3 linked regions of the Mus musculus genome follow. Each later gene encodes a partner of the first gene's protein in a complex. Links are inferred from orthologs where the notes say so. Each region holds a gene or a part of one and is shown on either strand. Other genes may lie near its edges.

The links. The genes of interacting proteins can lie anywhere in the genome.
Region 2: Cpsf3 (region 1) and Cpsf2 share a complex: the UniProt entries of both Homo sapiens proteins name them as parts of the cleavage and polyadenylation specificity factor (CPSF) complex. The link is inferred for Mus musculus from reciprocal best matches to the Homo sapiens genes CPSF3 and CPSF2.
Region 3: Cpsf3 (region 1) and Cpsf4 share a complex: the UniProt entries of both Homo sapiens proteins name them as parts of the cleavage and polyadenylation specificity factor (CPSF) complex. The link is inferred for Mus musculus from reciprocal best matches to the Homo sapiens genes CPSF3 and CPSF4.

The regions. Positions count from the first base shown.
Region 1 is NC_000078.6:21,283,711-21,291,109, reverse strand, and holds the start of Cpsf3 (cleavage and polyadenylation specificity factor subunit 3), read right to left. Parts: upstream 4,814-7,399; 5' UTR 4,616-4,813; coding exon 4,566-4,615; intron 4,306-4,565; exon of another isoform or gene 4,192-4,305; coding exon of another isoform or gene 4,160-4,191; intron 3,184-4,159; exon of another isoform or gene 3,051-3,183; intron 2,376-3,050; exon of another isoform or gene 2,182-2,375; intron 863-2,181; coding exon 799-862; intron 1-798. UniProt on the Homo sapiens protein: Component of the cleavage and polyadenylation specificity factor (CPSF) complex that plays a key role in pre-mRNA 3'-end formation, recognizing the AAUAAA signal sequence and interacting with poly(A) polymerase and other factors to bring about cleavage and poly(A) addition.
Region 2 is NC_000078.6:101,973,726-101,980,981, reverse strand, and holds the start of Cpsf2 (cleavage and polyadenylation specificity factor subunit 2), read right to left. Parts: upstream 5,009-7,256; 5' UTR 4,848-5,008; intron 1-4,847. UniProt on the Homo sapiens protein: Component of the cleavage and polyadenylation specificity factor (CPSF) complex that play a key role in pre-mRNA 3'-end formation, recognizing the AAUAAA signal sequence and interacting with poly(A) polymerase and other factors to bring about cleavage and poly(A) addition.
Region 3 is NC_000071.6:145,164,606-145,172,220, reverse strand, and holds the start of Cpsf4 (cleavage and polyadenylation specificity factor subunit 4), read right to left. Parts: upstream 5,009-7,615; 5' UTR 4,865-5,008; coding exon 4,762-4,864; intron 1,707-4,761; coding exon 1,656-1,706; intron 1-1,655. Other genes in the region: Ptcd1 (pentatricopeptide repeat-containing protein 1, mitochondrial), read left to right, coding at 6,714-7,160. UniProt on the Homo sapiens protein: Component of the cleavage and polyadenylation specificity factor (CPSF) complex that play a key role in pre-mRNA 3'-end formation, recognizing the AAUAAA signal sequence and interacting with poly(A) polymerase and other factors to bring about cleavage and poly(A) addition.

The DNA.
Region 1 (7,399 bases):
TAAGAGAACTAGGGACTAGAGAGATGGCTCAGTGTTTAAGTGGATGCTCTTCCAGGGGTCCTAAGTTCAATTCCACATCTCAGAAACATCTTTAATGAGATCTGATGCCCTCTTCTGGTGTGTTTGAAGGCAGCTACAGTGTACTCACATACATTAAATAAAAAAATAAATCTTAAAACAAAACAAAACAAACCTAGAAAACTAAAAAAAGGAGCATCAAGGAACTAGAGCCAGTGTCCCCCTTTCTCCTGGGACCTTTGGAACCAGTGCTCCTGATCCTTCAGCCTAGCCTCTCAGGCAAAGAGATGGGCCTGACAGAGCCAGCAGGACTGGTGTCACTTGTGGGGTGGTCAAAGTTGACACCCATTGAAGGCAGTTAATTCCTTGATGTCTTCCAAAGGGGTGGGGTCCTCAGGTTGTGTAGACAAGGGAATCACAAGGACTTTGAAGAGACAACAGTCTGGCAGATGTAGCTGGCAGTTTTACAGTGTTACAATATATCTTTTTAGGTTACTTAATGTTTTTAATTACTAAGCAAAGTGTGTTAGGCTTTCTCTCAGCACAGAGTGTTAGCTCCATATACACATACTCTCTCAGATAGGGCTACAGAGATAACTAGCTCAGTAGTACAGATCTAACAGCCAGTACAGACAGAGCTACACTGTTTTCTTGGCAGCATAAATAATTGCTATCTAGGCTAAGAGTGTGATTCAGCAGTAGGACACATGCCTGGCCCACACATGGCCCAAAATCCAATTTCCAGTACCAAATAGTAATAACAGCAACAATAATAATTACCATGATTTTCCTTCCTTTGAACTCCAGAATAATACATGATCTTCCCACTTCTTGCCCAGCACCACTGCAAACAGTCAAGGGGAGAAATAAGGTGATTAAAAAGCAATCAAGCAGCCAGAGCTCGGTTTGGAGGCACACACGGACAACGGCAGCACTGGGGGCCACGGCAACGATGTCAGTGTTCAGTACGACCTGTATCACCCCACCACAGTAACACTCAACATACTAAATTCAAACTCTTTCACAACTTTAACTGCCCGAGTTATGACAGTAGTCACTTAATTCCCGAGGAAGGACAGTTCTAGAGTTCAAACAGAGGGTGAGTGCCGGTGTAGGAAAAGGTGAAAAGCAATCCTCGGTGTGGCGGGCAGAGAGGGTGGGCACTGTGGGACTTTAAGATGTAAACAAGCAGTTGAGTAATCCTTCTAGAACAAAGCCATCACTTCAGTGTTACCTTGAGATCAGCTTATCACCACCTAGCCTGGTTGCCATGGTTTCAGCCTTTTCCCTTTGGGCACACCTTAAGCTAAAAATAACAGCTTGTTGGATATTTCCTCCCAAATCTCGCTCAAAATGAATTCTAAAGTGTGATACTAACTGCCTAGGACGGGTGTATCAGAGTGATCAGACCTCAAAGACCTTGTGATCTAGGAGCAAACAGGGATGAGATAGACCCTTACCACTGGGCTAGCCACAGACTCAGAGAGTAAGAAACAATAGGGATGCAATTCTAGCACTTGGGGGGTAGATAGAGAATAAAGCTGTCTGGTGGGTGGAGCGCTGTAGATCTGGGGCCAGCCTGACCTACAGAGAACTCCACGACAGCCAAGGAACATAGTGAGACTCTGTCTCAAAGAAATAAATGAATAAATTCCATGGTCATTTTTTTTGTCTTCAATTAAAATTCCTTGATTTTTATCTCCATGATTCTCATTTTGTTCTTAAGTCAGCTTCCCCACAGAGCTGCCTGTCTACATACCCCTCCTAAAAACCCCCACTCTTATTTACCAGCCTTTTCCAGCTACTTTTCTGAGATTGTTCTTGCTGCTAAGTGCAAACAGCTCTACTTGGTCCTTAACCCAACCAGTCCCCTTGGCAGCCATTACCTTCCTTGCTTAAGTGTTCCCTCAAGCACTTCCTGGCTTCTCTGACTCCACACTCTGGTCTGTCTTGCTGGCTTTCCCAGGTTTTTTTTTTTTTTTTTCCCCTTCTTCACTTATCTGCCTTGGCTCTCTAACCTCTGAATGCTAATATCTCAGAGTCTCTCCTGGCCCTCTTCCCAACTTCATGGTCTTTCCATTCATGCATCCGACATGCTGTTGAACTCGGAGTCTGTGTCTGCAGCTCAGACTGCTCTGAATTCTAGCCCTCTGGTACATGTACCTGCCATTTCAGCCTCTTTGCTGGGTTGCTGCCAGGCACTTCATGTTTAGTAGGCCAAGCTAGTTTTCACAGGCCCCTGGACTGGCTCTTTCTTCCTGGAGTGTTCGGTTCTCAGCTCCCTACACATCAGGCTCCTTTAGAACATTTGGGTCTCAGTCAGGTTTCATCTTCTCAGACACCTTCTCAACTGCCAACTCCACAGAGAAGGAAAAATAGACAGGTGGTTGCTGAAGGTTTGGGAGGGTGGCGAGACCTGAGCGTGGAGCCTAATGTGCTCTTTAGAAAGGGTAATGCAGGTGTCGGCTATGGGATTGGGCACTACAGTCATAGCAAAGGCTATATAATTCCCCAAACACACTAAAAACCATTGGAGCTCATCAGGATAACACACTCCTGTAATCCTAACACTGGGAGACTGAGGCAAGAGAATTGTCATGGGTTTGTTCCAGGCCAGTGTGTGCTACCTAGCGAGATTCTATGTTAACAGAAAACCTACAGACACATACATACTCCAAAGCAAACAAGCGCATATCGAAGTGCACAGCTTTATAAGGTATGGTAAGTTACATATTTACAACTCCCACCAAACAACAAGATCAAACTTTCTCCCTTGCTGCACCTCCTGTACAGAACCAAGAGACCTGACGTGTACTCTCTGCCTGTGTCCTGCCACCGTCCCTTCAGATGACATCTGACCACTTGTCAAGACTTTACTCCTGAACTCCTCAAATCCACTCCTTTCTACTCCCCCCCACCCCTTTCACTGGCTACCAGCTCTCATCACTCAGGACTGGACTGTGATTACATCCTACCAGATTCTCCTCACTTCGTCCATATTCGTCTACCACACTGGAGTTGTTCTTTGTTTTTCTTGTCACAACACTGATTGAAGCAAACAACATGTCACCACTTCCCCCAAAAGTGATGTTTTCACTCTGCCCCTTCAGGACAGCTCAGTGGCTCACGAGCAAAAGGCCACTGAATGAATGCTTTCAAAAGGGAAAGTAGCCACAACTTTAATCTAATTCCCACTGTATTACACAGTTGCTTTAAATCTTTTGTCGGCTTACTATAACTGGTGTGATAAACAGTCAAGCTCTTTAGTATGTATACAAGGTCCTTCATAAGGTAGAGATAGCCTGCCCCAATCCGTCTGCTAATCTGTTACCTGCAACCAAAGTAAAACTGGCCATAAATCAGAACCTTTTGTGTGCGCCTGGAACATTATGGTTCCAATACTGTCTTTAATTTTTTCCAACTCTTTAAGCCTTAGCTCGAATGTCAATCACATTTCCAGAATGCGTGAGATCTGTCAGAAGAGTTTCCAACTGTTTTGAGACTCAGCACAGTGCTGACCTATACTCCTGAAACAGATGTCAAAATGAGCACTGAGCACGGTCACTGGTATCACTGCACTGCCCAAGAGCAAGCACTCCTCACAGTGAGTGCTTTTTTCCACATGAGGAAGTGGGTTCATTGAGGCTACTTCCGTATTAAACAGGAAGACTGGGTTTCAGGTCTGACACCAACGTAGCTGTCTATTTTCACAAACTCATTCCAGCACTCCCCACTTTACAATTTCACCAAAGGCGTGAAATCAATGAACTCAGCCCATGCCTGGTGATTTTGTTTGATATTTGCTTAGTGTATATAGGGAGATGACAGCATCACTTGGGTACATTCATTGGTAAGTGCTCAGTAAATCTTACTTTATGAGTGGGTAAAGGAGATAGTTTCCGGCCTTTGAAAATGTACACATTCATGTGGTGCCAAATAGTGTCTCATGCTGAACAACAACCACGTGTATTGGATGAGTCTCACCGCTCATCCAGTACGTTCTGCACCTTTAAATGTGTGAGGCAATTCTCTACAAAATATTCCAGAACGCCATTTCCACTAAAACCAATCTTTTATGGTGATTTAGCTCTTAATTTCTCGCGGAAACGCCTCAGCTTTCCCCTCTCCAATTTCCTCCTACCTTCTGCTAAGGTCTGAGCTCTCAAAGTACATACACCACGTCTTTAATTTCCCCGCCCATCTGAGCACGTGTAGGGTCCTGGAAAGGAGGCAGATGCAGTTCTTCCTTGCAGTGTCCTCTATCTGTCGGTTCCCTCAAGGCTTGCTCTGATGTACGAGATCCAGACTTGTGTTAATTGGCAACCCTTTCTTTATGAAAACACCCAATGACCTGGATTTTTTTTCCCCAAAATACCCTCCCCGAGACTGAAGGAAAAATGACATTCAACCTAGATAGCCCATCGATCAATGTTCTCCAAATCCCTTGAACCTGAGAGGCTGGACCCGCAGCTGCCTCCGCGGGGGTCCCTCCAGGCTCTCACACATACGGGGAGGGGGGCTCGCTCCCTCTCTAGCGCATCCCTTACAGGGGTCGGATCAGCAGCTGGTCGCTCTCCTCTGCAGGAATCGCAGACATCCTGGCAGTCTCAGGAGCAGCGTGGACCACGAACTCGTCGCCGCAGTCTCTAAATTCAAAGCACAGCTACTGCAAACCAAAGAAGAAAAAACCCCCACCACCAACACACAACTTCCGGCGCTCTAGCGTTCCCGGAGCTAGATTCGGCCCTCCAACTTCCGGTTCGAGAACGAGGTTCTTTAGGTTCCCGGAGGTGCGGTTAAGGAACTGGAGGCGCGGCCTAAAGACTGCGCCTGCGCATGATAGGGGCGTGGCCCAGCGGACCAGGGCAGGAAAACTGGCAAAGCCGGAGCTGGAATACGAACTGGAATAACCTACCGGCCGCCGCCGCTGGACCATCCCACACCCCGCGAGACCGGGGCGACCGGGGAACGAGCCGAGGAGGCGAGGTGAGAACCGGGCCTCGCCTCAGCCGGGCCAGAGGGTGCGGGTGTGTGGGGAGTACCCCGCAGCCCGCCGTCCTCCCATTCCCTCCACGTCCCGAGGCTGAGGCACCGACAGAGTGCAAACCGGGGAAAGGAAGAGGAGCTCGGCGCCCGGTCAGGGAGGGACCCGCGTTCCCGTGACAGGTCTACCGCCTGCCTCCCCGGGGACCAGGCTCCGCAAGACCCTGAGGCCTCCCTCTGCTTGTTGCTGCACCCAGGTGGGGTTGGAGTTAGCTGTCTACATCCTCACTTGTGCGAGGCATGTGTGCAGAGCTTTGGAAGCCTGATCTTGTCGGGGTCCCCAAGTAAACTTTGTGATGTGGGACAAGTTATTGAATCTCTGGCTTGGTTGACTCACGTGAATGCAGCTGGGCGTTCTCACTGCTCGGAAGGCTCCGATGACCCTAGGGACCGGCTGCTCCAGATGGGCCAGAGTGAGGGCTAGCGGTTTCTGGAGCATCTTGGCGACGTTATTGGATATCACCTCCTAGGGCAATTGTCAGAACCCTGTAACGAGTCCTCTTCCGCTATACTGTCTATCTACTGAGAACCAATTCAGCCTCGCCTTGCACTAGTTAGTTGAGGGAGTGGGAGTTTAAAGAAGAAGATGACATTTTAATGCTGTGATCTGATGTCTTTTAGTCCAACCTGAAAGTCCAAGGAAGGCTTTCTTTAAAAGGCCCGAAATAAGTTGTGCGAGGCAAGTAGTTGCCAAGGAACTTACAAAATGAGAGTTCTGTGGGAGGGAAAGTTAGATAGTATAAGAACATACAGGAGCTTAGAACCGCTCAGAACCAAAGTGGCTTTGCGTTCCTGAGAGATGTGTAGCTCATTGTTGAAGACAAGCTTGAGAGAGAGTGGTTGGAGAGCCCTGGGTGGGTTCTTGCTGGAGGGATTTGACCTTCCTTAGTCAAATCTTAGTAGTCAAATCTTAGTAGGACACCGGTGAACAACGGCCTAATAATACTGAGCTCTGATCTGTGTTTGAAAGAAATCATTGTTATCTTCTTTTCCTCCTCCTCCTCCTCCTCCTCCTTCTTTTTTTTTTTTAAAGATTTATTTATTATTATATGTAAGTACACCGTAGCTGTCTTCAGATGCACCAGAAGAGGGCGCCAGACCTCATCACGGGTGGTTGTGAGCCACCATGTGGTTGCTGGGAATTGAACTCAGGACCTTCGGGAAGAGCAGTCAGTGCTCTTACCCGCTGAGCCACCTCTCCAGCCCCCCTCCTCCTTCTTTTTGTGGCTAAAATGTGGAGGCAGACCTTAGAGCCACAAGGAGTTCTGTAGGACAAGATCATTCATTCAGAGAGCTGACTCAGTGGATAAGAGCATCTACCTGTCTTATTGAGGATCCAAGTTTTGGTGCTTGTGGCTCAACACCAGCTCCAGGGGCAATCTACTCCTACACACACCTTTTCTTTTTTTAAAAGTAAGGGCTTTTACCCACAAAGCCTCTATAGTGGGTGTGTGGATTCTTTAAGTGTGTCAGACTGTGAACTTGGGCGTTTTCTATAGATTGAGGATCATCACATTCACGCTGAAAGAATGCCATTAGTTCCCCCCAAAGATGTGGGGCTGGTTACCAAGCTGAGGCAGAGTCTGCCATGGACCTGGGATCCTGGTCCTTAGTTGGATGTGAAGGTTGAAGAACAGTGAGGGATTGATGATTTTCTGGTTCCTACCAGTGATGGCTTAATTGCCTGAGTGGGAGAGACGAGGGAGGAGCAGGTCGGAGCCTCTGGCAGTTTTTGCATTTGATGAATCTGTGTAACTTTCAGCTGACAGATAGCATCCCCTGGCTCATTTTTAAGCATGAATAATTTAGAAGCAAGAACAATTTGATTAAGTACATACACCCAGAACAGCAGCAGATATCAAAGACTAACCAGTTCTTTCCCCATCTCAGTTCCTGGATTGATGCTGCAGAGCAAGTTTTGAGAAGTTGCAAAGGCCTTGGTGATATCCAATCATCGCCAAGGATCTGTGGGGATGCTTTAAGATTCTAACAACAGAACCACTTTTTTTTTTTTTGTCTTTTCGAGACAGGGTTTCTCTGTATAGCCCAGGCTGTGGAACTCACTCTGTAGACCAGGCTGGCCTCAAACTCAGAAATCCAGCTGCCTCTGCCTCCCAAGTACTGGGATTAAAGGTGTGCGCCACCACTGCCCAGCAGAACCACATTTTATTAAGTAACTTTAAAAATTAATATAGAAATATGGGGGCTGGAAAGATGGTCCAGCGGTTAAGAGCACTGACTGCTCTACCAGAGATCCTGAGTTCAATGCCCAGCAACCACTCGGTGGCTCACAACCATCTGAAATGGGATCTGATGCCCTCTTCTGGTGTGTCTGAAG
Region 2 (7,256 bases), about 81 Mb from region 1:
GCTAGCACTGAGCTAAATGCCCAACTGAATCATCTACTTTAGCTCTCACTTTAATGATGGAATCAAAGTGCTTGCAAAGAACTGGATGAATTCACATTAACGTTTACAGAAAGACCCAAACTTTAACAGATGAAAAGTATCTTTTATGGTAAGTCTGTATCTTTTCCAGATTCATTACCTACTGATATTTCACCCGAAGATATGACAAAACACAAATTTATAAGTTTTTTATAAACCTTTAAAAAAAGTCTCGTGAATGTAATTTACGTCTATAGTGAGAATTTTTTTTTAAAGGCAGTTATGTCATTTGAATATGTTTTTGTTTTAATCCTGGGTGTAGCTCAAGAGGCTGCTTCCCAGGGGGGCGATTATCATTTGTTGAGTGTACTAGCAGGGGCGTGATCTTTGCCAGCTGCAGATAGTTTACATTTGATATTTTGGGGACTCAGGAGAGCCCCGAGAAGGCCTACTTGACAAGGCCTACAGTGGCTTACTGATGGTTCTTGTTGTTGTAGTTTGTCAAGTGGTCCTGAGCAAAGGGAGAAGTTGGAGATAGCCTGACCACAATGCTGGATTTGTGCCAAGGAACCCAATACCCCTAATCAACAGGAAGTAGTCTTAGAAGGTCTATGTCGTCTTTCCCCTCCTACCTTCTTTCTCTCCTACCTAGTGTTTGGGGGTGGAGGTGGGGGAAGGCGTTGGAAGGGACTAGGGTGGAAGAGGACTGGAAGGGAGAAAGTGTAAGATCCCAGTAACACAGCTAAACAAATACAACAATATACTTCCAGCTATAACTTTGGTGTTTTAATTTCTGTCTTTCTCTAAGGCATCATGAGCAACAGAAGAAGTGCTTGCTTTTTTAGACAAGTTTTCACTGTGAAGTCCTTTTGGCTGACAATATAGCACAAATGGCCTCAGATTCTTTAACCTCCTGCCTCAGCCTCTAAAATGCTAGGATTCCAGGCATGTACAATTATGCCTGGCCCTATAGGTTCCATTTTAAAAAACGGGGTGGGAGAAAGGACTCAGAGGTTAAGAGCACCTGCTTTTTTTATAGAGGACCTGGGTTCACTTCCCAGTCTCTACATGGTGGTTCACAATCATCTATAACTTCAGTTCCTGGGGATCCAAAGCCCTAGACTCCAAAGGCACCAAACATGTATGTGTTACACATGTATACATACTGTAATATCAAAAATGAATTCAAGACCACCTAGTACCTTCCCCCTTCAAAAGGACTTTCCAGACTGTCCTAGCAGGCCAAGTACAGAGCCAGATAAAGAAGCTGGCTGACTAAACAAACATAGAAACATAGTTTTAACCGTCAAAATGACTAAGCTTCCAAAACAAGATTAACAATGCCCCTGCCCCGCCTCACACTAAAAACCTCAAGGACAGACAAAATGAGAGTCACCGTATACAAACCAACCAATGTCTAAAAAGGTTATTGACTACACCAATTAAAATAAGTCAAACTACCCTGGTGCCTATATCCGGCCCTTACAAAGTTATGACAAGTGTGTGTGTGTGTGTTTTTTTTTTTTTTTTTTTTTTTGTTCTGGGTCTCTCCTCTGGCCTGCGTGCTAAGAGGGGAATCCCCAACATGTTGGAATAATAAAAATCCTCATGCGGTTACAGCAATGGTGGTCTCTGCGGTCCTTGTGAGTGAGGGTCTTTTGACGAACTACAACAATACAAGCAAAAACTCATATGCATAAAATAAAAAAATCTAAAAGAAAAGAGATACATAAATTGTAAGGAGTTAAATTTACAAAAGGGATAAAACATAAGTAATTATGGGCCAAATTGGTTATAATCTGCTTATATATACACTACTCAGTAAGTGAATCTTAAAAATTCTCAAGTGCTTCTGTTATTGAAGGAACTAAGATTACTTATTAAAGATTTATACAGTCAGGGCAGAAGGAGAGAAAACATTCAAAAGACTGGAATAACATCAGCTAAGACGAAACCCACAAAGCTAGGAGGTATCAGTGAAAAATTCAGCCTGGCATGCTTCCATAGAAAGACAGACAGACAGACTGACCAAGTGAGCAGCAGAGGCCCTGCAGAAGGGCCCTGGATACCCTGGACCTAGTTCTGTAGGCGATGCAGAGGCATTTAAAAATTCATTTTTTTAAGTAGGAAGAAGGCAAAAAATGCCTTAAAAAAAAGTAGGAAGAAGGCATAATACAGGCAACTGTGCTGATGGAAAATAGGCAGATGTGCATGACTGAACACCAACAGAAAAAACACAAACATAGAAAAGGGGAAATTGCTCATTTACACTCAAAACACCTCTCCACTTCACTGATGCTAAGACTAAAATTTTTTTTTGTCTCAAATGTCTTTTTTAATTCCTTATCAATTAATGGGTTATTAGTCAAGTAACCAAGGCTGAAAGTCTTCCCTTTATTTTCTGGGACCATCTCCTATCAATTCCTGATTGCTTCTCCCTCAGAACACCTTGCACGTATACTATCTCCCATCTGTTCTTACTGCCGATACCTGAATGGCAGGCCTCATTACCTTACATTTGGGTTTCGCCATTTCATTCTCGGCAGCTTTCCCCCTCTTTATCTCAGTGGAAACACTCCTGCCAGAATAATCTAAAACATCCCTGCAAACACTATCCCTTGTTCAAGTCTTTGAAGGAAGGGCTGGCAAGATGCTCAGTGGTTAACTTAACCCTGAGTTCAATCCTCTGCACCCACGTGATGGAAGAAGAGTGCCCACTCCACCAAGCTGTCTCTGTGGCCTTCATTTGTCTGCTGTGGTAGATGTGTGCCTACACACACACACACACACACACACACACACACAAAACAACCTTTAAAGGTATCTACTGCCCTAAGAGGGAAAAATAAAAACAAGTAAAAACAAGTAACTGAATGTTTTTACAGGGAGCGAGGTGAGGAGGAAGCAGGAGCTGCCTGAAACCAGTTTACTATTCTCTCAAGGTCTGGCTCAAAGTTTCCTCCTTTCTCATCCTTCTTCCATTATTAGTCTAGACTAATGTGAGCCACAGATGTAATTTAAAAATTTCCCAGCCACATTTACAGCAAAAAGAGGTAAGGCCTGGTGTTTTAACGGTGTCAAATCATCACTTCAGCAGGTCGTCATTTAATGAGTCAGTTTCCAGGGTTTTTGCACTGTGTTCGGCGTGTACTTTCCAGTTCATTCCCATTCAAGCCAACCTCATTTCAAGCGCTCAATACTGCATGTGGCCACTGTAATAGCAGAGGTCTAGACTCCCAAATAATGCTTTGGGCTGGGGAACGTTGTGGTTTTGCCACTGCGTAAGAGCAAAGTTGGCACCACCCTCTTTTTATGTCCATGTCTCAGACCGATTTCAATGGTATTACCAACCATCAAGTTTCGCAGACTAAAAACCATTCACCCACTACCAGTAAACTGGCAGTCACAGGTGGAACCCTATGTAGGTGGCATTTGCTTCATTTCTTCAGGTGGTTCTTCTCCTGCCTCAGCGAAGGTTCTTGTTGCCTTACCTGAATGGCTGACACTGCATCTAGTTTTCTTATCTCAGGTTGGTCCTGCATAGCCTTATATGCCAGATCATCCTAAGACATAAATACCTCCTGCCCACTCCCTGCCAAGTGTGCACCAGCTTCCTGCTGACTAAATGCAAGACAAGCTCCAAGACCACTCACAAGCCGACCTAATCTGCACCTTCAGTCTGCACCAACCACTCTTCCAGTTTTTGATTTGTTAAAAATCTCCCCAACAGTGCTCAGCCTTCTCAAGTTTTTAATCCCTCTTCTGCACCCAGGAATAACTTTGTTCTCCCAGGCTTAGCAAATTCCTCTTGATCTGGCTCAGGTGCAAGCTTTTCATTGTCCCCAGGTAAAGCTTCATTACTTAGCACAAAGGAGGCAGGAGGAGTGTTTGCCAAGGGATGATGATTGTGTCCAAAAGCGATCATCTTTGCATCTCCCAAACCAAGCACAGTGCTCGAAGCAATAGAAATAAATGTGCTGAACGCACTGAACCCACCATATCGGGAATTCCCCCAGGGCAGTGACTTCGACTACCTCTGCTTCATCTCGAATATATACCAGATACTTGCTTTCTCAAGAATGATCGTTCACGCTGAGGTCAACTAATGAGAAATACGCAAAGACGGATCTGGACTAGTCCTGGGGCTCACAGTGGGAGAAGTCTCTCTTTAATCGTTCAGGTAAAGAAAGGCTTTGAAAGGGGCAAAGGAATCGTAAAATTAAAGGGTAGAAAAGTAGGCATAGATGATGCTTAAGTTCTCCTTGTCACAGGGGCCAGAGTACTGGGGCTGGATATGGCCTGACTTCTGGTTTCCTGAAAAGTACGTAAGCAAGGAAACTAGGAATGGGATCTTGGGAAACGTGGTGATTGTGGTAGCGCCGAGAGAAGTTAATTCTATCAAGGCGTGGCATGAGCCTCTCAAGGGTCTTTGGAATTAAGGAGCTACGAAGGCACCTGCTGGCCTCGTGTTCTCTGAGCCCAAGATGGGAAAGGCAGAGATGGGGAGGCTTGGGGAGTACGGCGGTACAAGGGGAAAGAGCCCAGGCTGGACGCGGATTAACTTTTAGCTCCAGCTGATGAAAGCTCAGAGGAACTAGACAGGAGGGAGGGCAAGGAGGAAGCATAGGCGCGCCCCAACACCCCGAGGTTTCAGCCCGGGGAAAAGTCACTTCTCTTCCCCCTTGCGGAACGCTTGTTCCAGGAACCACGGAGACTGTCACAACCGAAACCGCGGGAGCGCGTCCGGGCGACACCGGGCCGACGCGGGAACCCATCCCCTTGAGGGCCTCCTCCCAACCCGAAGGCTCCTTTCCGTCTCCCGTCCTCACCTGCCAGGCCAATCTCCCCCCGGCACCGTCCGCCGCCCTTCCCAACCCCTAGTGGAACGCAGGTCGGAGAGCGAGCAGAGCTAGCGCGCGCTCAGCGGCGGAGAGCAGCCGGCAGGAGCCCCTGTGTGGTGGCCGCCATCTTGGGCCTGAGCAGAGCGGCTGAGGCGGGGACGACCCGGGCGACACCATCTGTAGGGGTGGTGACGAACCGGGTCAGGGAAGAGGACAGCGCAAAAGCTCGCAAACCTTGTCAGCCTGGATCCACGTCTTATTCAAAACGTGTCGCGATCATTCACAGCTTAAGATGTACGGGATTCGCGCGTGAGAAGGGAGAGAGAAGCGCCGGTTTGCCGACGCCACCCCCTCTCATCAGGGCTGGCGCGGCGAGTGGCAGCTCCTTAGGTCACGGCTTCCGCCGGCGCCAGTGGCCTAGCTCCCTGCGGCTGTCCTTGGTCGCCTTGTCACCAGGCTGAAGGTGGGTCTGGGGACCCCGGCGCCACCCGTGGTGGTGATGCGGGCGGGAGGGTTCTGGGGAACGCTCGCATGGAGGGGAAACAGGGTCGCCTTCGGTGACCCCTGCGCGCTGCCCGCCCCACGCCTTTTACAAAGACTGCTCTGGGGACGATCTGATGGCCTGGCTCTCGGGGGACTCGGAAGGGTTCTCAAGGATCCGACTCTTGAGCCCACAATAGGGAATGCAGCTCCTATCCAGAAGCGGGGCGCGGTCGCCCAGGCGTCTGTCTCCTCGTCCAACTCTCCTGATTGTGAAACCCGCACGTAGCCATTTGCCTTTTAAAAACAAGGCTTTCTGCTTGGTTTCCAGTCCGTGTTATGATCTCAACGGTTTCGGTTTTGCTCCATCCATTCCATATCTTAGGTGACACTTTGTAATAATTATAAAGAACTGTGGGGTCCAGTCCAACACAAGGTATTATCTCTTAAAAAGTCTACATGTGCCTGCAGTGGTGGTGGCGCATGCCTTTAATCCCAGCACTTGGAAAGCAGAGGCAGGTGGATTTCTGAGTTCAAGGCCAGGCTGGTCTACAGAGTGAGTTCCAGGGCAGCCAGGGCTTTAAAGAGAACCCCTGTCTTGAAAAACAAAACAACAAAAAAAGTCTACATGTTTCCAGCATGAATCCAGATAGAAGACTCAGCAAAATAAGACTCACAGCAGTGTCTGTTATTCTTGAAAAGGGAAAGAAACTTTAATCCCAGCACTTGGAAAGCAGAGGCAGGTGGTATTTAAGGGAAATACCTTGTGTTAGAGAAAAATATTAAGAAATATGTGGGATGTGGGGTTAGTTGTTTTTTGTTTTTAAAAAGTCTCACACACACACACATGGAGAGAGAGAGAGAGAGAGAGAGAGAGAGAGAGAGAGAGAGAGAGAGAGGCTCTGCAAAGAAGAAAAGAGAGGAGGAGTTATTTAACTGTTTACCTCCGTACACAGGAGAGAGAGTAGAACAAAAGAGCTTAAGCCTGATCAGGATACAGATTGTCTGGGGACTATGCTAATCCTGACTCTTTACCCTATACTTAAAGCAAGTTACTTTGCCACAACTAAATTTGGATTTCTTCATCTGAAAAAAAAAAAAAGCCCCAATCTTGAGACATGGTTACTTAAATCTGCAGTCTGTGGTGAGGAGTATATGAATTAGCTATGACGCAGAAACGCCTCGTCCATGTGGCCTACATCTGTAACTCCAACTACTTTTGAGGATGAGGCAGAGGGATAGTAAGCCAGAGCTTCACAGTAAGACTGTCTCAAAAAACAAATACAAAACAAACAAACAAAAGATTCAGTTCTTGTTAAAAGCTTGCCCAAAAAAAAAAAAAAAATTGGATCACTTTAATATTAAAAAAATAAATGACCAAGCCGGGCATGGTGGCACACGCCTTTAATCCCAGCACTCGGGAGGCAGAGGCAGGCGGATTTCTGAGTTCGAGGCCAGCCTGGTCTACAAAGTGAGTTCCAGGACAGCCAGGGCTATACAGAGAAATCCTGTCTCGAAAAACCAAAAAATAAAATTAAAAAAATAAAATAAAATAAAAATAAATGACAAGACAGAGTGTGTGGCTCTGATACGGTGTGTGCTTTTCAAAGCCAAGGCTGCTTCCCTCCTTCTCTCACCCCCTTCTGTCTGCCTCCCCCCCCCTCTTTTTCTTGACACAGTTTCTCTGTGTAGCCCAGGCTGGCCTTGAACTCAGAGATCCTCCTGCTTCTGCCTTCTTAGTGCACCACCACTGCCCAGCCTCCCAATTCTTTTTTTAAAAATACCACAGTACCAGGCAGTGGTGCACAGGGGAGGCAGAAGCAAGCAGATTCCTGTGAGATCCAGGACAGCCAGGGCTACAAAGAAACACTCTTGAAAAGCAAAGCAATAATGCTATATTTTATTTCTGAAATAAAA
Region 3 (7,615 bases), on another chromosome or scaffold:
AGCTGTGACAGACATGAGCAGGAGCAGTGTCCTGCAGCAGGGAGAGTCCCACCCAGATGGGAGAGAGCCACCCTCTGCGAATGTAATGGAAGCCGGCCATGACTGCTGAAAGGGCTGCTGAGAGTAAGTCTGTGACTAATGAAGGTGAGACTAGCCTTGCCCAAATGAATTTTTGGCCACAATGGGAAGAAATGCTCTGCACCTTCGCTCTCCAGGACAGCAGCCACTGGTCTCATGTGGCTGCTGAGCATCTGAATTAGCAGCAGTATGGCTGAGGAACTACACTTTAACGTTTGTAACTGGTCAGCACGTATGTATGGCTCCTGGCTACGGGACGGCAATAGTGCCATGAACTAAGAGTGCCTTCGTAGCAAGAGGTGGAATTTTGGGAGCCTCATAGTGTGTGGCACATATTACCTAGGAAACTGGGGTTCCCTTTTGGGATTCTTAAGTCTCACTAATACTACTAAGGTTCGAGAAACAGAACCCAACAGGGCCCAGCCTGCTACTATCTGTGTAATTACCTAACAGTCAGAAGGCAGGAGAGCTGAGCAAACGTGGGAATGAGACCAGGAGCCAATGAGAGAGAGAATGATGTCATGACCAGAGACCATGAGGTCAAGCTGTTCTCCACTCCGAGGTCTACTGCCTCAGCACTCTGCAGCACTGCACTGTGCAGGCCAAACTCACTGTTCCCAGTCCATCCATTCCAAGCACCCTTGCTCTGCACCTGCGCTTCCTGTTCAAGCACCTGACACACAAGGCCCCGCTCACAAACACCTACGAATCAATGGAGGGCTAGGCTCACATAGCCTCTGCTGAGGCCCCAGAAGAAAGACTTGGCCAGTCTTTGACTAGGAAGCTCACTAGCTTGCATACACTGAAATTAAAAAGTCTGTATTCAGCCCCTGGGCATGGCTACGTGTAATTCTGAGACCATGAGAAGCCCCTGAAAGCCTGTATGCCCTCCTCTCCACGGGAAGGAAAAGTAACAAAAGAAGGCAACCTTTAAGCCGGGCAGGCTCAGTCTGTGTTTAGGTTTTGGGTACCATAGTCCAACGTCCTCCTAGCCTATCTAAGCCATGGCTTCACTTAGGAACACTCATCTCAATATAATACAACTGAATGTAATACAGGCAGATACCCAGTGGCCTGGAAATCTGCTAGAGGGCCAAGTAGGGCCAGGGTGTAGCTGGAATTTCCAACTCCAATAAGCCCATGTAAAAAACACACAATCTAGTTACTATAATTATAAGCTATAAGCGTACATTGGGCAGATCTAATACCATACTAACTTACTCACCAGCTATAAGACCCTTGTTACTTGTGGTTTCTCTTGGCTACATGGCTCTGCTCCATCATGGCTTCCTCCTCCTCTTCTTCAGTCCTCTCTCCTTCCCTTCTCGTCCTCTTCTCCTTTCTACCTGCTCCCACTCTGAAACCTCCAGTCCCACCTTTCCGAACCTCCACTGCCCAACCACAGGCTCTAACCTTTATTGACCGAATAAAGAAAAAAAAACCTCACATAAAATCACCTAAATACATGATAGACTGCTCATCAAAAACAACCGTTCTTAAAGAAACAAAATTAACCTCAAAATACAAACAACACAGGGTACTTCAGGAAGGGTGTGAGGAAGTCAAGGGTCTCTTACCTTTGCCACAGGCGGCTTTCAAAAAGAATTCACAGACAGCAGCCCCCGACTCTGTAAAAGGAAAGAACCAGTCATCAACTAAAGCTAGGTACCAATGGAGGGGACTCTTAGGACCTTTAGTGCAGGATGTAGTGAGCTGGCAAAAACCACAAAGCCCATGCCTGCCATGGTGGGATATCCCAGTACTCAGAGGCAGACACAGGCAGAGCTCTGAGTTCTAGCCTAGCCAGGGCTACACATTTAGCTCCAGGCCAGTTAGGGCAACACAGTGAGACCTTGTCTCAAAGCAAAAGCCACTTGTTTCAGTCAGACTCGTGAAATGTGACTTCACTGTGGGACTAAACATCTCAAAACCTCCTGGAAGCCAAGAGCTTTCAAGACATTTAAGAATGGGTGGAGAGGCTGGGCAGTGGTGGTGCACGCCTTTAATCCCAGGACTCAGACTCGGGAGGCAGAGGCAGGCAGATTTCTGAGTTCGAGGCCAGCCTGGTCTACAAAGTGAGTTCCAGGACAGCCAAGGCTATACAGAGAAACCCTGTCTTGAAAAACAAAAAAAAAAAAAACAAAAACAAAAAAAAAAAAAAAAAAAAAAAAAAGAATGGGTGGAGAAGGTAAGAAGGAACACAAGATCAGAGAATAATTACCCCCAGCTCAGCCCTCCCATGGGGGTTAATTTACAAGTATATTAGTATGAGACAGAGAGAAGGAATGAATGGTCTCACAGGAAATAACTAAATCACTAGCTGAGCCTCTGAGCAGGGAAGATGACAGAGCAGGCAGGGGCCTCTTTAGACATTAGCCTAGTGGAAGAATATAATGGAAGATCAAGCAGGCCAGCCCTTAATATGTGACACCTACATAGAATTACATAGGTGCAAGGCCATTCATCCTCACAAACACAGCCAACTCTGGGAGGGCAGCACATCTACAGAGCCAGCATGTGGCAGCAGTCAGCAAGTCCAGAAACTCACCAGAACAAGTCTTGGATTCATAAATAGTTTTCACTGATGTATCAGCGTGGATTTTCAGAAAACAGTAAACTTAAAAAACAAAAACCAGCCAGGCAGTGGTGGTACACGCCTTTAATTCCGGCACTTGGGAGACAGAGGCAGGCGGATTTCTGAGTTCGAGGCCAGCCTGGTCTACAGAGTGAGTTCCAGGACAGCCAGGCCTACACAGAGAAACCCTGTCTCAAAAAAAAAAAAAAAAAAAAAGAAGAAATAAAAGAAAACAACCAAACCAAAACAACAAACCAAAATAAAACAAAAACCAGAAACACCATTTCCTTCTGTCTTCTTTTTTTTTCTTTTTCCCCAGAGGCAGGGTTTCTCTGTGTAACAGCCCTGGCTATTCTAGAACTTGCTTTGTAGACCAGCTTGGCCTCAGTTTCAGAGATCTGCCTGTCCCTCCATCCTGAGTGCTGGGATTAAAGGCAAGAGCCATCACTGAGTGGCTGCAATGGAAGGTGCCTCAGCACGCACTTCTTGTTTGTGGTTGTGTTGGGTATGTCAAGGCCCAGCAAGGCACCTACCAAATCTGGACCTGAGCTTCGGAGGTACCCATGCTATGCACATCCCTGGCTCTCCTAGGGAGACTTTGGCTACTTTGTGGGTTCTTTTATCTTCCACCCTTCTAGTCCCCTAACACTAGATAGGTGAGAAAAAAAGGATGGAAGGGAGAGAGGGGGTGATGTCATTGTTAGACTGCTCCCGGATGATTAGGGAGCAAGTTTGGTCTTTGCTGTCAGGGTATCTAATTTCTTGTTGTTCCTTTTTTGTGCACAACTACTTAACAACTCTCAACCAACCAACAACCCACATTCTTGGGGCCCTAGCATTTATATACCCTCTTAAGAGTCCTCCGAATTCCAAATGCCACACAATGGCAAAAACTATCTGCCATTGGCAGTATCACACTCCTGCTAAGGAATGAGGCAAATCATAGTCAGCTGCTATGGAAAATCTGAAGCAGCCCCAGATCCCATATCTGGGATTAAAATAAAAATATATTCCTATTTCTGTAGTTTTCTGGGTTCTGGATTTTGTTTGTTTGTTTTTGTTTTTTTCCCTTCAAGACAGGGTTTCTCTGTGTAGTCCTGGCTGTCCTGGAACTCACTCTGTAGACCAGGCTGGCCTTGAACTCAGAAATCCACCTGCCTCTGCCTCCTAAGAGCCATGATTAAAGGCGTGCGCCACCACTGCCCGGCTATTTCTGTGTTTTTTAAAGAAACCCAAATCTTTACTTCAAGTGCACACTTGCCTCCACAGGTTTGTGGATCTATTGCCCCACACAAATGTTCCATGGTCTCAAGGCAGTGCCATCAAATTGAGTAAAAACCTAGTGCTTAAAAGGCTAGCCTGATCTATAGAGTGAGTTTCAGGACAGCCAGGGCTATACAGAGAAACTCTGTCTCGAAAAACAACAACAACAAAGAGTAGACATATGTGCAAGGACGACCTGGCCAAAGAGGACAGTTCTGTCTGAATTGAAGCAGCTCCCCCAAACGGAAGATATATCCCACCAGAACAGGAAAACCATCTCATCACATGAAGAGGGACAGTAAATATAGCTCGGTCTAAAGGTTCGCTGGGGGCCTGAGTTGGGACAGGTGACCCGGAGGTGGGGTAGTGAGGAAAACGGACAATTCCAGGACAGGGAAGGATTTCCCAGGAGCTAGACTAAAGCAAGCCTGGAATATGAGGGTCTACTTGGAGTCTTCGACAGTCAGATACACTCAGACTCTTCTACCGCCTAGTTCTGATGAAAGTAGAGAGGAGCACGCTAAGAGGTGGAAATGGGGGACATTCTAAGACTTTGCTGAAGTTGGAGCAGGATGGGAGAAGGCAGTTCCACTTCAGGATGACACGCGTTCACTGGAGAATTACGCGAACAACCGACACAGTCCTGCTGTCCCGAGGATTGCCACGGAGCAGTCCCCGGGGATCAAGGATCCAAGGAAAGGTCTCCCCGAGTTCAAGTGACACCGGGAAGTCCCAGGACGGAAGCGGAGGAACTAGGCGAGGGTCCCGGGTTCCAGGGCCCAGGGCTGGGGTAACCTCTGGTCAGAATCAGACTCGCCCACCCACCCGCCGGGCCCCGCACTCACTATCCATGCCGGGGAAGGGCAGCGGCTGCGCCCCGAGCTGCTGCTCCACGGCGATCTCCAAGTCGAACTTGATGTGATCTACGCTGGCGATTATTTCCTGCATGGCGGCGGCGGCGGCCTCGGGCCCAGCTCCCCCTCAGGTCTCTCAGCCGCTCTCCGCAACTCACGCTACCTCTCCCCGTCCCCTTCTCGCTTGCCGCCACCGCCGCCGCCGCAGCCGCCGCCCCGCGAGGGATGCCGGGAGCGCTGGAGCCCGCGCCGGCCCTTTTTTCCCATCCAGACTCAGCCAACGGAGCTCAGAGTCCGGCCACTCCTTCAGGCCTGACTAGCCGCCGACCGATCGCCTGTTTCTTTCGGTTCTGTATCTTACACAAGAGGCGGCGACGCAAGTGCGCCTGCGCGGGATCTCCGTAGTCTGTGCTGAGGGCAGGAACGCTGTCTCTGGAGCCGCGGTCCCTCGACTCTGAGGACGTCTCACTAGGGGCTCGCCGCTTAGAACGCTCAGAGTGAGTTTCTGTTCAACCCTCATAGGAAACCCGGAAGCCGGGTGGAAATTGGACCTGAGGGACTTTGTCCAAGCTCAGATGCGAAAACGGAGGATCTAAAGGCCTGGGGAGAGGAAGCAAGGGGCGACCTAGGGTCCCAGGTCTCTCTGTGGGTGTAGCTCTAATGCAGACGTTTAAAAGTCGGGTAAGGGGGCAGGAGGTGTGGCTCAGTTGGTAAAGTGCTTGCCCCACCACCGCATAAGCCGGTAGTGTTAGTACAGACTTGTAATCCCACTAACTGGCAAGTGGAGGCAGAAGGGTCAGAAGCTCAAGACCAGACTGCATTACATGAGACCCTGGAGAGCGAGTCAACCTAGTAGAGCTAAGCCTCAAAATACCGTCATACCTCTTTTCCCTGTTATTATGTCTTGTTTTTGTTGTTGTTTGTTTGTTTTGTTTTTTTATTAAAGGGCTTCAAAGTAAGCAGGCCCAGCACAGCCTAATAAAAATAGAATGCGAGGGTGAGAGGGTGTAGCTCTGTGAGAGGGAGCATGTGCATATATGTGCCTTCCACACCACTCGAGTGCAGATTAGGGAAAAGCTTGTACCACAAGTCCTTCCAAGTATGTTCAGGAATCAAGCTCAGGTCACCGAGCTCTGCAGTAAGCACCTTTATCTGCTGAGACCCTCTTGAGCCTCTTGTTGTTGTTGTCGAGACTGGGGATCTCTAGGTAGCCCTGAGTAGCGTGGACTCACAGTTGTAGACCAGACTGGCATTGAACTCATAGAAATTCTCCTGCCTCTGTCTCCCTGGTGCAGGGCCTAAAGGCATGGCCCATCACGACTTACTCTTACTTTTTAAAGACAATCTCATGAAGCCCAGGCTGGTCTTGAAGTTGACATTATAGCTGAGGGTGACCCTGAATTTCTGACTCTTTTCTACCCAGCTGAGATAGTAAGTTTGACTGATCTCCCACTCCCCACCCTGCACAGAGCCAGGTCTTCCTAACTCAGAGCCTACCCTCTGAGTAAACTTGTCTCTCTTTTCTGACTCTTTTTAAAAAAGATTTGTTTGTTTATTTATTTATTTATTTAATGTATGTGAGTACACTATAGTTGTACAGATGGCTGTGAGCCTTCATGTGGTTGTTGGGAATTGAAATTTTTTAGGACCTCTGCTCGCTCTGGTAGGCCCTGCTTGCACCAGTAGGCCCCCTCACTCCAGCCCAAAGATTTATTTATTATTATATGTAAGTACACTGTCGCTGACTTTAGATGTACCAGAAGAGGGGGTCAGATCTCATTATGGGTGAGCCACCATGTGGTTGCTGGGATTTGAACTCAGGACCTTCGGAGAGCACGCTGAGCCATCTCGCCAGCCCTTCCTTTCTGACTTTTTATATGGCGTCTGATGCGGTTTCCTTATTTTTCTTGATTTCAGGCTGCAGGGGCTCGAGGCAGCCAGCGATGGACCTCCTAAGACTCTCCCGGCTCTTTTCCGGTCCCCGCCCCATAGGACTGTCTGTCCTTCAACACCTGGATCTTGTTGGATCAACCCGATGGACAGGAGGCAGGGAGGGACCTGCACGGCTGAGAGCTGCCTTCTGCGGCTCCTCCTCCCCGCTGCCCCTGGGCAGCGGGAACCAGAAGGAAATGAGCAGCCTCTGCTCTGACTCCAGTAAGCTCAGCACTGTGGCTCCCCAGGAGGAGGCAGAGGAAGAGAGCTTCGGGAGCCTCTCTGGCAAATTCTCCTCCCGGAGGATATTCCACAAGTCAACGGCCCAGCTCTACAACCTGCAGCTCAAGGAACAGGGTGGTGAGGAGGAAGAACTGGAGCCCAGACCGTGGCGGGGCCGGAGGAACACTCAGTACTGGTACTTCTTTCAGTGCAAACGTCTGATCAAGGAAGGAAAGGTCTGAGAGTGTGCTGTGATTTCATCTTGTGTCCCTGGCCCTTTAAGAATTCTTAGCTGGGAGAACCCTATGACCTTCAGTGTTGGATGCCCCTTGGATTTCTGGGAACGGGATAGGAAATGTATATAAAGCCGGGGGTGGGGACTAGCAGAGTGAGAAGGCAGTTAGTGAAGACACTGTCAGACAGTGGAGCCAGGAGGAGCTGAGCTGAGCTGAGCTGAGCTGAGCTGAGCTGAGCTGAGCTGAGCTGAGCTGAGCTGAGCAGATAGGCTAGCACAGTTGCTATGGCTTGGAGCTGCTAGCATTGGGGAAACTACTGGGAAGGGAATGTTTAAGCAGACTGTTGGGGAACTGAGGGAGGAAGAGGCTGGGCTGGAAACTGAGCGGAGGGCAGGCAGGGAGTTAAGAGAACTGGTAAACAGGTAGGCATTTTACATGAGAACCTTGGGGTTTTC